Lonchura striata: one gene and its partner. The protein of the gene in region 1 purifies or fractionates together with the protein of each later gene. This does not show direct contact. Links are inferred from orthologs where the notes say so. Each region holds a gene or a part of one and is shown on either strand. Other genes may lie near its edges.

Region 1 (8,172 bases):
TTCTCTGATATGCCAAATTTGCAGGAGAGAGCAGCTCTCTCCCATTGTGGCAGCACACATTACAACAGTGTAATACATGACTAATCCATTCACAGAGAAATAATTCCTCTTTGTTCTGCAAGTAAAAACCAATTGGACTTGCTTCTCTGCTCCTGCATGCTTCGTGGAGGCATTTACACCTGTGAAAACCAATGTAAAAAAGTATTTATTATGTATGTTGGAATGGGTTTTGTAATGTCTCCATGCAACTTGCACAGAAGTAAATGATGGTGCAGAACTGGAAAATCAAGGTTTGTTTATTGAAAGCAGGTCTTCCACTCCCAGGGTCAGGCCTGTGGTTTGGAAGATGATAGAGACAAGGTCTCAGATGAAAAACAGGTTGTGCTTGTACTTTTGAAATCTTCACCATAATGTAGTTCTTGTGAAGATTAACATTATGTAGGAAGTCCTCTGTTTTACACAGTTAATCTGACACTTGCCAAATCATAGAAGAAATTACATATGGAAATTAATTTTCTTCCTTGTTGTTCTCTTTGCTTTGGAGGTCACTTCTCCTTTCCTCATTGTGCAATACAAACAAAACCCACTGTAGCAAAGCTTTGATCTATAGGCAATCCCAAACCTCATTAAAACTGACAGGGATGCTGTCCGTGCTTTGTTCAGGAAGGAGCAATTAAGTTCTTTTATGGCATAAGATAGCTAAAAATGAGAAACTGCTGCCCATGCAGGCAGGGGTGAAGGCACAGGGGTGCATGGCCAAATGCTGAGTTAATTTGTATGAGCAAGCACTAATTTGGGGAAAGTCAGGGACACTTTTCTAGGGACTGCTTGTGAGTGCAGCAGCAAGAGCACAGATTGGTTGCAGCTGTGTTTGCCTGTGTGCATGTCCGGGACCGGAAACACCACACAAGAGCCAGCAGACAGTGGGAGAAGCAGTGGTGTATGGCCCTGAGAAAAAGCCAAGGGACAGCTTCTTCTGGGCAAGCATCCTGGCTGGAGCAGCAAACTTGGACTGCTGCACAGTTCTCCCTCCCATTTGCTTCCTCTGCGTGCAAGGAAAGGGGACGTGGCTGTACATTCTTTGTAAATAAATAGGATTTCGCTAAGGAGCTGACTGAATTCATCATCGATTCCCCCCCCACGTCCCTCTGCAGAAAAAATCTGGCAAAGTGCTGAATATTAGTTAACCCTGTCGGTCATAGTTCTGTATGCAAAACTACAGAACTTTTCAGTACTGCTAAAATAGCCACCAGAGACCCTGCAGATATCAAGGCAGTCTCTGAAATTCAGACCTCAAAACAGCAGTTGATCATTTCAGTTGCTGATGATCCTTCATGGATTTTTAATGCCTGGTATTTCTACAATCCATATTAAAAGTTGCTTTTATGGAAGAATAACAAGAAACTGCTTTCTCTGATCCCTTGTTTGGAATGTTTAATATAGTCCAGATGTATCTGTTGAAAAGAAATGTAGTCAGATACAATATAGTTGTGAAACATTCATACATCAGTAAGGTGTTTGATACATGGAGCTGTTTTGAATAATTTGCTTGTGTTATCTTACGGTATCTTTTTATCAAGCTGCTCTAAGCTCTTGCAGATTTATGTCCATATTTAGGTCCCCATAGCAACTACATTATCCACCTCAGATTGAGAGTATGCTCACCCCAGCACAGCTGAATAAAGCAGAGTCCTTCAAGCTGGAGTCCTGAAGCTGGAGTATATTCTGTGTGTGCTCTGACACCTCTCTAACGGGATGTGAAGCCTTAGCCTTAGTGGGAAGGCAGGTTTGCAGCCAAGGATAAGACTGTAAAATGCCCTCAACTCACCTCTTTTCCCTGGAGCTTCACTCCAGGAGACAATTACAATCCAACAGGTCTTTGGTTCAAAGGTGCTTTACTGATGTGGAATACAAATTTGGGAGGAAAAAAAAATGCTGCTTTTAACTCCAACTATATTTATCAATCAGTTCTTCTCCAGCAAAGCACAGCGGGTGCCTGGAGCCTGGAATGAGCAGCTGGTGTGGCCGAGGGCAAGGCTGTGTTACTTTTGGCAGCAGTGCTGGCAATAGCTGGCTGGAAGCATTTGTGAAATTATGGCTTGTGGGGGCACTTCTGGTTTATGCTGACGTGTGTGCAGGCTGCCACTGAAACAGGCCCTCTCACTGGCTTATCCTGGCACTGGTGTTTGTTCGGCTGTAGGATCGGCTGGCTGCCAAAATTGATCCTGCTGGAAACTTTTTTTCTTTTTTTTGTAAACTGGATTAGCTTTCAGCTCTGTTGGCAAGTCGATCTGGCTTAACATATGGCTGCATCAGTGTTGTAGCCAGCAGAGAGCAGGCATCAGGAAGGCATGACTAAGGAAAGGGGAAAGGATGGAATGATGACTTTTGCCAGTAGTACACTCTTGTCTTGGCTTAACCCCCCGAGAATCTGCCTGTCAGGGTAGAGTTACCTGTTATAATTTGAGTCACATTAATGGCTTGCTTCAAGTGTATGAGAAAAATCTTGTTCCTTTTTTCCTCGCTCTTCTGACATTAGACCTGGTGATTGTCTAATCTTGCATTGGACTGATTTAACTTATTGAATCAGCACAAAACTCACCTCAACAAAGAAAAGGGAATAGCATTCTGCTTACTGAGTGGGTGGAATCAGCTCAGCAGAGCATCTGCAGACGCTGGCAGAGCTGGGACAGGCAAGGGGAATAGTAGCTGTCAGCTCTGAGGTCGCTGACTGAACCACAACTCAGAGCTTCAGTCTCAGAAATCTCCTTGCACAGTGCTTATTAGAAGAGCCATGATCTGGGTTCTCTCTGTAGTTTGAAGATGACAGTAAATGAATACCCTTTGTCTTACAAAAAATAAGAATTGAAAATCTGGAAATTACCACAATCATATAATTCCTTCCAAATTTCTACCCCTGTATTTTCAACTTTTCAACTCTCCCATAACTAAGTGGCATTTATTCTAACACCTCCTTTCAAGCTGGGCCTCTCCTTTGAGCCTAGATTTCCCTTGGCTTTGTTTATCTCCACAGATCTACAAATGTTCTTTTCCATCAGCCAGAGAGAGCTTTTCTCTGAAGCTTCCACAACTGGCTTTTGTTGCTGCCTTGGGAAGACACTGTGCTCTTCGATGCAAGAATGCAAGCTCATAAACAAACTGCTACTGAAAGTGCTGCTATTGAAGCAGAGTTAAAAAGTATAGAAAGATGGACTTGAATGTGTGCAAAATGGTTGTGTGCGACTCAGGTAAGAAGTAGAAGAGTGCCCAAATTCTATTTGATTATGCTCAGGACAGCTGTGGAACACTTAAGTAGGGTGCTGGCTAGGCAGTGTTTCTGTGCACCAATCACAGAAATCCTGCTGCGTGTTTGCCTAGAAGTTAAGCTTTCCTCTTTGATAGAAGAAATCAAAGGCAAGGAGGGACAAGAACATTTTCAGGTGGACCTAATGAAGAGCCATTGTTCTGGGTGGGCAGGGAACCACTCTTCCACCCATTCAGCTCCTTCTTCATTTATAAGGAGACAGAGTTGGACCAGCCCAAAGAATTAACAGAGAATAAAACATACTCTAAAAATATATTAAAATTTTATATGAGAAATAGATGGAAATAACAAGTGAGAAATCTAAAATGCCATGTTGTTGTTAATCTCTAACCATAAAATTACAGAGAAGATTAATAGGACCCAGAAATTCTTGATATAAAAGTGGCTGTTGGGAAAGTGTAGACAAGGAGTACTCAGCAAATGTAACTGCACAAGCATTGGGACATAATTTGAAAGTAGTTTAGGTGACTGAGGGAAACTACCTGGAATTACTTGTTTTTAATAAGCAGGAATCAAGATGCTCGACAATCAAGAAGAAACAAGCAGGATGTTGAAATACATCTGAAGGTCTTGATTGCTTTTGTGCAGCAACTCTGCCTGCTGGGGCTGTTCTCCAGTGGACAGTGGAAGAAATGCCTCAGTGTGTAGGCACTTGGAAAGGAATTTTCAAAAATGCTTGTCCTTGATCAAATTGGTTCCCATTGAGTTCAGCTGAGCAGGCAGGCTAGCTTGGGTGGGGCAGCAAGGAGAGAAGGTGAGGAGTAACTGCAGTGAATTGGGGAAGCATAACCTTGGCATGTTATTGAATGGCTTTTAAGATCCAGGTTCCTAAATAATAAGAAGAAATAAGTCAGATGTTCGAGGGAGCTTCATTTGATAGAAATACGGTCTGATTTGTGATGTTCCTTGTGTGGGTAGTCCTGGAGGTGAAGAGTCTCCCCTGTGCTGATGAGTGACAGGACTGCAGTGACTGCGCAGTAGGGGAGGGGAGGGATGCAGGAGGCAGAGTATGTACATTTGGGAACAGCTTTTCATGTAGTATTTCACAAAGTCTAACTTGAAAATAAGTTCAGTTTGACTTTGATGTGAAACCTGTTCTGTTGACTGAGAACTAACAGAACTGCAAAAGAGATATGGAACACAAAGGTCCTCTGACATCTCAGCACTTCCAGACTCAGTTTCATAATCCTATAACCAGAATGTTCTTTTAAATGGATATGGAATCTCTTCTGCTGCATTTCCCAGGGACTAGTCAGTGTTTTGTGGAAGACCTGCACTGGTTTTATGGGCACGTTAACTCTCCAAGAGATTCACCAGCTGGAAACGGCATAACCAGTGTGCTCAAGCAAATGAGTCGTTATCCTTTCATGAAGCACATAAGGCTGGCTGTCTCAAATTATGTTCTTTTTTAATAAGTGCTTTCGGAAGGCGACAGATCCCCACAGGATTGTCACCCAGCAGCGCCCCTCCCTAGGCTGTGCAACGTGCGCCTGTGAGCTGCAGGCTCAAGTGTAATTTAACAGAGTTAACAAACAACAGAAACCCGTATATATCTCGGCCGCCGCCTTAGGCGAGCAGCCTCCACCGCCGGCCCTCTTTCCCGGCAGCTCCGGAGGCTTCCCGGCCGCTCACAGGGCAGCGGAGGAACGGACGAGCCGCAGCAGCTCCGGCCCTGGGGCTGGATCGGCGGCCGCGGGCCAAGGTGGGTGGGACGGCGGGGCAGCGGCGGCCGGCCGATCGTCCCGGCGGGCCCGGCCGATCGTTCCGGCGGGCCCGGCCGATCGTCCCGGCGGGCCCGGAAGGCGGGCGGCGGGCGGGCGGGAGCGTGGCGAGCGTGCGGGTGACCGAGGCGGCCGCTCCGCAGCCCGCCGGGCCCCGGCCTGCCATGGTGAGTAGCGGGGCCCGGGGGCGGCAGGACGGGCGGGCGCGGCCGGGCGAGCGCAGGCCGCGGCTTTGTGAGAGGCGGCGGCAGCGCCCGGGCCGGGGACGCCGCTGCGGCGCCTACCGCCGGCTCCGCGGCAGCCGCCGTCCCCGAGCCCCGCGGCGCCTCGCGGACCTGCCCGGCCTCCCTGCCCCGGGCCGCGGCGCCGGGCGGAGCGCTGGCACCCCGCGGAGGCCAGGGCCGGCGGCTGGCTGCAGCGTCGTTTAGGGGCGATTCCCTGCAGGAACTGCAGACGGGGGGTGCAACCAGGAGCAGCCGGGGAACCTCTGCCAGGTCAAGGGACAGTGGGGGCGAGCGCAGGGACCAGCGCTGGGGCAGCCCGTGCGCTCGGCAGACCGCCCAGCCCTGGGGGTGAAACGGTGTTCATGGGGCTGTGTGTGCACTGAGCACAGACCGCTTATTTCTCCAGGCCTTCCTGCCTTTCGAGAGTCTGGACGTGTTGGATCTGCCTGGTGCTCCTGGAAAAACTTTTGGCCGTGAAATACCAGGTTTAAAGCATGGGCAATTTACCCATGTCTTTTTGGCCGTCTGGTTAGCAACCTTCCAGTAGCTGGAAGGGGTCTACAGGGAAGCCAGAGAGGGGCACTTCATCAGGAACTATAGGGACAGAACAAAGAGTGATGTGTACAAACTGAGAGAAAATTTTATTTAGATATTGGGAAGAAATTTTTTACTGTGGGAGCAGTGACACTGGAACAGGGATATTTTGGATGCCCCAGTCCTGGCAGTGTTCAAGGCCGGGTTAGATAAGGCTTTGGGCAACCTGGTCTAGTGGTTGGTGTCCCTGGCCATGGCAGGGGCGGTTGGGACTAGATAATCTTCAAAGTCCTTCTCAACTCCTTAATATTCTATGATCCTATGTTACCTACTGCTCATAGAGGTCAGTTGTTCCACAATAAAATGTATATAGTGACCCTCTTAGATTGTGGTTTCTCTCAGTGAACAGGGTTCAGATCATAGCTGCTGGAACGAGGATCTTCCATCTCTCTTCTCCTCTGTGTAGGACTCTTTTTAGGGCTGATTCAACACACAAGTCTGGACAAGGCTGGTGAAATTGCTTATAGGGGGTCCTGACACAGACTAGGGTTCCTGCCAAGGAAGGGAGATGTGACCTCTCCAGACTAGCTCAACTGCTTGTAGAAATGTAGCTTGACTTGGTCACGTCTCATTTAGAACAGTTAAATGCCGTTGCAGGAAACTTGTAATTCAGAGGTTATCTTTTTGGTTTTTTTGAAGCCTGGTGAAATTCTGGTTTTGCTTTCAGCATGCTGCTGGCTGATAAACCCAACTTCTGTGCTGAGAAGCATGCTAAATGAATTTTTGTCTGGAGTGTGGGAAAAAGCTACTGTGGTTGTTTTTGCTTTTATGGTTTGATGTTGTTTGTCATTCTTCTTCCTAATGATAAAACTGTGCAAGTTGCTATTTCTGATGGGTGACATCTGTTGGGTTTGTACCCAGAGATGCTTTTGGTCCATGTGCTACAAGTGGGGAATTCCAGGGCCACCCAATCCTGGGTCAGAGGTTACACAGAGAAATTCCCAGTGAAAAAGTTGAACTGTAGATGTGGTTCATCACACAAATACCAGGTTGCTAAGGGATGTTTCAATCTACAGACAATTTACTATCTGAAATTAAAGAAGACAGAAGTTAATCTGTCCAACTAATCGTACAGGTCCTTCAGTATTTTTGGTTTAGCGTTTTCTGGTGTTGTAAGAGGGGGAAGAGGGGGGACTTTGTAGACCTGCCCATTTATTTTTTTTAAATGCAGTGTTTTTAATGATGTTGTATAAAGGTTTTGAAATTCAGTTATATTTATAAAGCATAATTATGTAATTTGGTAAGTAGGGTTCAAATGTAACAGGACAATATTAGTTGGATCATGAAGCCTTTTTGTGTATGTTTTTTGTATTTTTAGGAGTGTGAAAATCTTTGGTGTTTGTCCTGCAATTTTGATGGAAAATGTTATAGTGAGCATTTTCTGCATTGCTTTGCAGTTCGTGCTGTTAGGAATGCAAAGCTGCTTTTCCAGCTCCCCAACTGGGAAATAAAATTTTCCCTGGTAAATGAGATGGACCAGAGCAAATATTTTCTGCCCGGTGCATTTCCATTTACTAAGAGATGGAAAACCATAATTTTAGTTTTGTAGTTATTATCCTCTTTACACATGAGCAGAACTGATCTTTGTGCTGCTACTGTGGCTAAAAGGTATGAGTACAAGTTGGAAAGAGAGAGCTGCTCACAAAAAGGAAGACTCAAGAGTGGAGGGATGAAATTATCATCTTCCTGTCATCCCATTATTTTTACCACTAGGAAAAAGATGGAAGAGAAATGTTGATTTGAGAGCATGCGAGGTGCTTCAAAACTACATTCTCCTCACAGAAAATGGAGTTTGTGAATGGGATCTGTGGGCTTACAGGAAACCCATTAGTTAGAGTTATTAGACCTTTTCTCTGGGACTTTTCCCCCAGTTGTAGTGGTGGCTTCTTCTGTCTCCTGACTTTAGTTCTGAGTAAAAAAGCTGGCAACTTTTCCAAAGTCTCTTTTTTCCAGCAAGCACAGAAAATATGTGGAGGGGCATAAGCACATAAGCATGGTTGTCTCAAGCATTTTGACTGTCATGCAGGAAAGTTGGGATTGGGAGGGAGGGTCCCGCTGAGACAGGGAAGCGCTGTTGTGAGCCAGCTTCCCTTTCTTTGCTGGGCTTGTTAATCAGCCTGGAGGATCACATTTAGTGTGCCTGCAGCAAGAGAAGGGTCATGTCCTGGGCACCTCACTGAAGGAGGCACCCGGACCACTGCAGGCCCTCAGCCCCCCCCCACTCATTTCCTGAAGGGCTCTAAGGGTTCACTGTGCATGTGCCAGCAGCAGCAAATGGCGCAAAAAATGAGGGGATGTGCCCTAGGGA
Region 2 (7,916 bases), on another chromosome or scaffold:
GGGCTCAGCAACGCTCGGAGCCATCCCAGGTGGCAGGCAGGGAGGAGCTGGGGGCCGGCAGACATGGGAATTCTCCCGAAAAGGAAAATCTGCCCAGTGGATCCTCAGGCATCCTCTCTGTTTCCTCCTGGAGAGGTGACAGTGAAGGGAGCCCAGCACTCGGGAAGGTGCAGGGGCTGCCTCGAGGTGCTCTGGGTGCCTCGTATATGAGGAAAAGCACAGGTCTTGCCTAACTGCATCCTTAGAACATTCTTCAGTTCGTTAAATAAAGCCCATTTTTCAAATCTTGAAATGGCCTCTGCCGGTGTTAGAGAATCCGGGAAGGAAATCGGCAGAGGGAGCCCTTTGGATGGCATCAGGAGTTTCTGCCTCCCTCCTCTGCCAGGAGCCAGGTGGGAGTTGCGGGGCCGAGCACAGACCTCATCCCTGGGCAGGGAAACGCCCTGAGCGGGGAAATCCCCTGGCAGAACTCCCAGGAACGCCGAAAAAACGAAAAAACCCCGCGGGCGGGGCTTGGACCGGTGCATCCTGACCTGGATTTTACAAAGCACGAACAACCCCCATCACAACATAAGGCAGCAGCAGATCCGCAGGAATTAATGGTAGCCCTCCACAAAGGTGGCAGACAAGTAAGAGCTGGTGGGGAAGTGCTGTGCTCTATTAAATGTTGGCTGTTTATTTTCAGAGGTGCAAAATGCTCCCACCACTCAGGATATCGGGTGTGTCTGCAGCGGGAGAGAAGAGAGGAACATTAATAATTTCTCCAAGACAATTAATTAGACTCTTTCCCAAGGATAAAGTTTAATCTAATTTCTTCTGTTATACTTTGTCTTCATAAAAGTCTGAAGAAATTAATGAGCTTTATACCACCCTCTCATGATAAAAAACCTTGGGTTCTCTTGGAAAAAATGAGGGATTAAGCCAAATTGCAGCACCTGCCATTTTTCTCTTAGACCTGCAAAGTCTTTTTTATTCTTTAAATCTATCCCTCTTTTCCCAGTTTTGTCTTTTATTCTGTTTTTAAAGTTTTGAGCAAATTTTGAGCAAGTTTTGAGCTTTCGTATTTTGCAGAGCAAAAATTAAAATGTGAATTGCAGAGACCCAAAACCCCAGCAAATAGCAAATGCAGAGAAAAGGTGGTTTTTTTTTTTGTGTGTTTTTTTTTTTTTTTTTTTTTTTTAAATGGTGATCTCATGATCTTTGAACAGTTGATGCTGGCAATGCTGAGTGTGCTGCAGAAATGAGGGGCCTTCATGGGAAACACTCCCATAGCAATCCACAGGTCCTGAGGCCATTACAAAAATTAGAAAGAGAAAACATTTATTAGGTCTAGGTATAAAATGTAATCCAGATTTATAGCTGATTTTATCTAGTGCTTGAAAGAGCTTAGCTCTGGAGTTTGGCCCATCTTTAGGCTTGATCCTTCCCAGGCTGCTTTATGCAAGAAACAAAATAATTTCATTTTCTATGTTTTATAGGCTGCTGTGTTCAAACATCACCATGGCTTGTTTCACAGCAGTATAAATGTTTTCAAATCTCTTTAGCCATGAGAGAGGAAAATGACAACAGGGTGCTTTATGTTCAAAGTGTTGACATGTTGATGCTTTAAATCAGGGCAAAAGCTACAAGTCAGATTTTCAAAGCAACACTAGGCCCAAGAAATTCACATAGGTTGCAAAAAACTCTTTCTCATCTCCAGGAACAATCCTTATGGAACTGCATAACACTCCTGGTGTGCTTCTACCTTGTACCTGCTGTCCACCCATTCTTCCTATCTGCTCCTGTGTCTCAGTGAAAAAACTGCCAGAGTTTTCTGCCTTTAACAGTTTCACCACAGCTGCTGAGCCTGTGTAAACACCTGACGTGGCACAGCTGAACTTCAGGAAAGCCTCAAAAATGAGACAGCAAAAAACTCCCAGCTCGGCTTTGTGCTCTGCCTGTGCCAATGAGGAAGGAGGGTTCTGCTTCCGAGGCACGAACCGGGTTTTCACTGGGCTAGAGGAGGAAAGAAGAGGTCATGGGACCAGGCTGAGTCACCAGTGTCTGTCCCGATGTGCCTGGAGGATCCTGCACCTCTCCAGAAGCCTCTGGAAGGACACGTGGGATTGCTGGGTGTGGATGGGCACTCGGTGCAGCCCAGAGCTGTGCGTGGTCCCTCCATCACCACACACTGTCCTGCCAACCCTCCCCTCCTCACCAGGAGTGCTGGGGCAGTGACGGCAGCCTCAGGCTGGAGCAATGAGCTGGGGCAAAACTTCCTCTGGAAAATTTCCTCATCAGACTCTGCTGTGGTTTGCAAGCAAGGAAAAGATTGGACATTTCACCTCCTCCATCCCACCTTCTTCCCCCCAGGGCTTTATTGCAAACATAAGAAGTTTGGACAGAAGTATTTCTGGTGATTGTGCCCTCAGAACAAAAACCTCACCAAATATTGTCAAACATTTCCCAGCAGAAGTGGGTGTAGAGAGAAAGCAGATCACTGAAGGGATGCTAATTGCTCCTTTTTAAGCCTTTCCTCTCTAACTTGAATTTTTAAACTCCAACAGCATTTTTCACTGTTCTCTTTACTGTTCCTTTGCTATATCCATGTGTGAAGCTGGCTGCTCAGCACCTGGGGCCAACGAGCCACTTTTTTGGGCAGGAGTTGCTGTGCTGCCATGGGATTCCTAAGAAAGTATCCACACAACCACTGCTCCATGCTGAGAATGCCAAAATCCAGATCCACTCACAAACAGAAGGAGAAACTGCTCTAGTGGATCTGGGAATAGAGCACAGCTCCTCACATGGGGCTGAGGAACCGGGCAGAGGCAGAGCCCAGGCTGGAGGAAACGGGGGAGAGCGAGGTCTGAGCTGCAGGAGGGCTGCCCGGAGGAAATCCCCGACCTCGAGGAGGAGGAGGAGGAGGAGGAGGAGACTCACTGAGTCACTCCCGTCCCGTGATCGGTGAGGTAAGCCGTGAGACCAGTGAAAGCTTGTTTGCCTTGTGTTTTGTAAAAGTGCATGATGTCACAGCAAGAGCTGTGCGTGACTCAGCATGTCCCACCAGGAGAACTGGATTGAAGTGGACACGGGAAAACTCAAATTTCTGATTTTACTTTAGCACATTGCTTGATAATTGCAAATGCAACAATCAATTAGCCTGGAGACAGAACTGACATGAAAAGACACAGCAACTTGAGGACACCCCCTACCCTGCACTTCAAACACCCCTCAAACACAGGCAGGGATGGAGAAGGGAATAGGAACTGGAGCTGTCTGGAACAGCAGCAGCTTGGAACCTAAGGAATGGATGTGCTGGGTCTCAAAATACAGTTCTGGCCTAATAGATGAGATGAAAGTGGCCCTCGAGGTCTTCAGAAACAACATGAGATGGGCATGTTGGAGGTGCTGCTTGGTGAGGCACATCCAACACTGGTAGAGTGCCCTGTACTGCATGTCCTGCTTCTCCTGGCACCATAAAATCAGATTTTATGGAGAAAAAGCATAATCCAACAATGTCAAGGTATCAGCTTTCATTGACATTTTCAGATATAAGGATACACACAGCAAACAGGCAAAAGGGAAGGTGAAACACCATATGGCTTTGCTGCCTGCCCAAAGTTTTCAATATTGGCTGCTGTAAAAGCCGCTGAATAATTTCCTACACAGCATCATCCATGTTTCCTGCTGAATTTGCTGGTATTTAAACTTTAATCCACTGCTTTACAGTGCAAACATTAGCCATGTCATACATAGAAACTGAATTTTCTAGAAAGCATTTTAACTTAAATGGGGCAAACTTTTCCACTGTAAATACTATTTTCCAGGAAAGGGTTGCAATGTCAACATTGTGCCACATATACCAAAAATGTCTCTACATAAAAGGCCAAGTGTTTTAACATATATACTTTAGGTCAAGAAATAAACTACCTTCCCATTGTGGAAATTAAAATTTATGCTTCTCTTGATTACAGAAGATGATAAATCGTGACACAGTTCCTCCTAAGTTCTTAATATCTTAAATTAAGAAATACAGCACCAAGAGTCAGAGTGGTCAGGCCCTTGGGTGAGAGGAAAGTAACACCAACAAGGAACCTAATAATCATTGATCCATCATTATTTAATTATGCTTGGACAGCACAGACGGTGTGTTCTGCCAGCTGAACCCTCCTGCGGCCGGATTAAGAGGCCTGTCAACTGTATGTGATCCGCAAAAAAAATACTGCTGCCAACCAGCTTGCAAAGGCCACAGCACATCCTCCTTAATGTCAGCTGTGTTTACACCAGTGACCTTATTTTTAGTGCCCGCTCCTGACACAGGGGTTCAGTTATTTATTCCTGCCACGCTCGGCACGCCAGCCGCTCCGGTGGGTGCCGCACGAGCGGGGCTGGCTCGTGGCTCCCGCTCCGCTCCCGGCCGCGCTGCCGCCGTGGAGGGGAGGCAGCGCCGGGATGCCAAGCGCCTGCCGGCTCCCGGCGGCCGGGAGCGGTGACGGGACCGGGGCGGCCCGGCGCTGCCCGTGCTGTGGTGTTGCCCCCGGTGTGTCTCGGAGGTCACCCAGGGGTCCCCGTGTCGCGCTCACTGCCCGCCGCCCCCGCTGGTGCTCAGGGGACCACAAGAACCCCGCGCCGCCCACGCCCCTGGCGCTGCCCCGGGGCCCAAACCGGGGCCGGGCAGGGCAGGGAGCAGACATGGGCATTTGCACGTATCCACAGGTTTTCCCGCGCGCCGTGGGCGCTTTTCCGTGGCCCTGGATGGGGACGGAGCAGGAACGGGAGCGGGGCGGGCCGGGGCAGGGCAGAGGGGGGTGGCCTCGGGGGCGGGGCCGCTGCCGCGGCGCTTAAAAGCGCGGCCGGCGGAGCCGCCGTCGCCGCTCACCCCGCCCCTCGCCGCTCCGTGTCTCGGTCCCGGCCGCAATTCCTGCTGCGCCACAGCCATGGCGGCGCTGACGGTGAAAGCCTACCTGCTGGGCAAGGAGGAGGCGGCCCGCGAGATCCGCCGCTTCACGCTGCCGCCGCCCGCTCGCTACCGGGCCATCTACGACCGTGTCGCCGAGCTCTTCCAGGGGCTGCTGCGGGCCGGGCCGCCGCCCGCCTTCCGCATGCACTACAAGGGTGAGCGGGGCTGGGGCAGCTGCCGGGTCCCGGGGTGGCAGATCGCGGGGCGCGGGGCTCTGGCTGCCCCGTTACCCCACCGGGCGCCTCATCCTGCGCTTCGCCCTTTCCAGATGAGGACGGGGACCTGATCGCTTTTTCCAGCGACGAGGAGCTGGAGTTGGCGATGCCCTACGTGCGGGATGGCGTGTTCCGTGTTTATATCAAAGGTACGGGTAGCAGCTCCGGAGGGCACGGCGGGTCTCGGCTGAGCCTCCTGGCAGCGCTCCCAAAGCGGGAGAAGCCAGCCCCGGCCCTTCCCGTGTCCTCGAGCGCCGAGTGGAAGCTGCGGCCTCTGCGGGGGAGGTTAAATAAAGGGCAGTGTAATGTGACGGAACATGAATTTGAGGTGGGATAAACAAACCACAGGTTTCCTCCTAGCCCTATCAGCTGGCCCAGTGTGAGGCTCTGTTGTCATTCTCGTTCCCTGGATACACTAAACCAGTGGTGGTATCCTAAATATTCAAAACAACATGTTAGCTTTAATTCCACTTTCCCAGTGCGTAGTTGCTTCCCAGTCCCTTGTTCATGTAGAAGCCCTCAAAGCTTTATCTGCAGTCCATCTAGTGAGCCACACCTGTTGTCCCCATTCTCATGTTATGCTTCATGGCATCTGCATTCCTAACTCCTTCTCCAGAAACATTTTGTTCTTGCAGTGCTTGGGAAGGTAGGGTGAGAAGCCAGATGAGGTGGTGCAGTGCTAATCTAAAAAAAGTGTGCCAAGGGATATTTAGGATAACGTAGGCTTGGTTTCAGGAGGAGGTATCTTTGCAAAACCTCTTTGCACGTGGTTTAAGGTCTCTTACATGAGCCTGGCTTAGGTTTGACAGCCAGTGTAAAAATAAACTGACCTAGTAAGTCAACACTGCTCGGACGGGCTGTTTGTGCTTCCTCCTCGGCCTGACTTCAAGGCCGTAGATAGTAATCTGATCTTGATGTGGAATTTCCCTTCCTTAACAGAGAAGAAGGAGTGCAAGCGGGAGCACCGCTCGCAGTGCAGCCAGGAGCCGCCCCGCAACATGGTGCACCCCAACGTCATCTGTGATGGCTGTGAGGGACCTGTGGTGGGGACCAGGTTCAAGTGCAGTGTCTGTCCAGACTATGACCTGTGCAGCACCTGTGAGGGGAAGGGCATCCACAAGGAGCACAACATGGTGATGTTCCAAAGCCCACTGCTTAATCCGTTTGAGGTGAGCAAAATCTATGGAAGGCAACTGATGAGTGAGAGATTCCTCAAATTCAAGTCAGGCGTTTCAGTTGCTCAGAACTCGCTGTCACACGAATGTCACCCTTTACAGTGGATTCCCCGAGGACGCTGGCTCCGTAAAATGCGCCATGGTGTTCCACCTTTCCCATGGATGCACTGCTGGGGGTATCCTGGGCCTGCAGCTCCCTGCCAGAACTCGGAGCAAGCTGAAGCCACCGCTGAAGCCACCACTGCAGCCCCCAGTGCACCTGCTGCAGAAGGTGAGAGGAGGTGCCCTGGTAGACAGGGTGGTGGTGGAGCCTCAGACCAGCTGAGGTTCTGCAGCATAGGGTAGAATCTGGGTGGGAGAACAAAGGAATTGGCACCTTTCAGCACAAAGTGTTATTACTTTAAGGTGTGCTTGGGTCCGTGCAGTCAATGAGGATGCAGATAAAGTATCTGGAACCCAACCAAGCTGAGCTGTTAGGTCAAGCATGTCACTATTGTACTCCAGACCTGCCTTTCAGCATGGCTGATGAGCCATAATAATGCTAATACTGGCTTTCTGTTCCAGAGGTAGCCCAGTTAGTTGTTCTCTGTAGTGCTTTGTTCTGTAATGTATGTCAGTGACAGGAATGAGCTTTAAGCTCCTGTGGGGACACACCCTCTGCAGGTGCCCTTTCCCTCAGAGCTTGTGTGTGCTAACAGAAATTGTTTTTCTAGAAGCTTCTACTAACAGCCAGCCTCAGGACCCCAATGTCACCTTCCTAAAGAATGTTGGGGAGAGTGTTGCAGCTTTTCTGAGTCCCCTGGGTAAGTGATAATGTACAGTTTGTTACCAGTCCCTGAGACTGGCTTACAGGTCTGTTTAACAGGAGCAGCAGTCAGTTGTTGTGACTGGTCTTCAAATTACCTCCTGTCCTAAGCCTCAAAGGCTTAGTTTATACTTGGATACTAATAATGCTTAGGCTTAGAACAGTTGCTCAGTACCTTTTATTTGAAAAAAATGAGGAAAAATTTCAATAATGTGTCAGCCCTTTAAGTCAGTGGTGACTCTAGATTTTGCCTGGTTTATGTGGACATAGATGTAACTTCTGCCCTGCCTTTAAGTATTTGGCTTGTCTGTGTGGAGGAAGATGGCTGTTCAGTGCTTAGCTATTCTTTAGTAAAGAAGGCTTTGCATTTTAATTCCTGCTGTTACATGGCAGATTGTAGGATGACAGAAACCTTAAGAGTGTAGAGCAGGATCGATCCATTTAGGGCTGTTTTGGAAAAAAAACCTCTTACCACTTTGTCTACCTTAAATGCTTTTCTAGGTATTGAAGTTGATATCGATGTGGAACACGGAGGACAGAGAAGCAAAGTGACTCCCACTTCTGCCAACCAAGAGAAGACCGGTGCTGAGGCAACCAGCAGTGCTCCAACCCAGAATGTTCAGACCAAAGCAGACTGGAATAACACAGAGTCTGCTACACAAGTAAATGTCATTGCAGAACAGATGCAAGACATGGTGGTAGATTCTGTGCCCACACAAATGGAAGATGGCAGCTTCCATTCCCAGGTACAAAACTACAACAGTAATTGAATGCAATCACTT

The links.
Region 2: the proteins of TRIM13 (region 1) and SQSTM1 purify together in Homo sapiens (affinity purification with western blotting; 3 studies listed by BioGRID). This does not show direct contact. The link is inferred for Lonchura striata from reciprocal best matches to the Homo sapiens genes TRIM13 and SQSTM1.

What each region holds. Positions count from the first base shown.
Region 1 is NC_134604.1:62,631,809-62,639,980, forward strand, and holds the start of TRIM13 (E3 ubiquitin-protein ligase TRIM13), read left to right. Parts: upstream 1-5,147; 5' UTR 5,148-5,210; coding exon 5,211-5,213; intron 5,214-8,172. UniProt on the Homo sapiens protein: Endoplasmic reticulum (ER) membrane anchored E3 ligase involved in the retrotranslocation and turnover of membrane and secretory proteins from the ER through a set of processes named ER-associated degradation (ERAD).
Region 2 is NC_134617.1:6,704,238-6,712,153, reverse strand, and holds the start of SQSTM1 (sequestosome-1), read left to right. Parts: upstream 1-4,855; 5' UTR 4,856-4,916; coding exon 4,917-5,094; intron 5,095-5,207; coding exon 5,208-5,303; intron 5,304-6,093; coding exon 6,094-6,323; intron 6,324-6,431; coding exon 6,432-6,600; intron 6,601-7,042; coding exon 7,043-7,132; intron 7,133-7,298; exon of another isoform or gene 7,299-7,635; coding exon 7,636-7,880; exon of another isoform or gene 7,881-7,916. UniProt on the Homo sapiens protein: Molecular adapter required for selective macroautophagy (aggrephagy) by acting as a bridge between polyubiquitinated proteins and autophagosomes.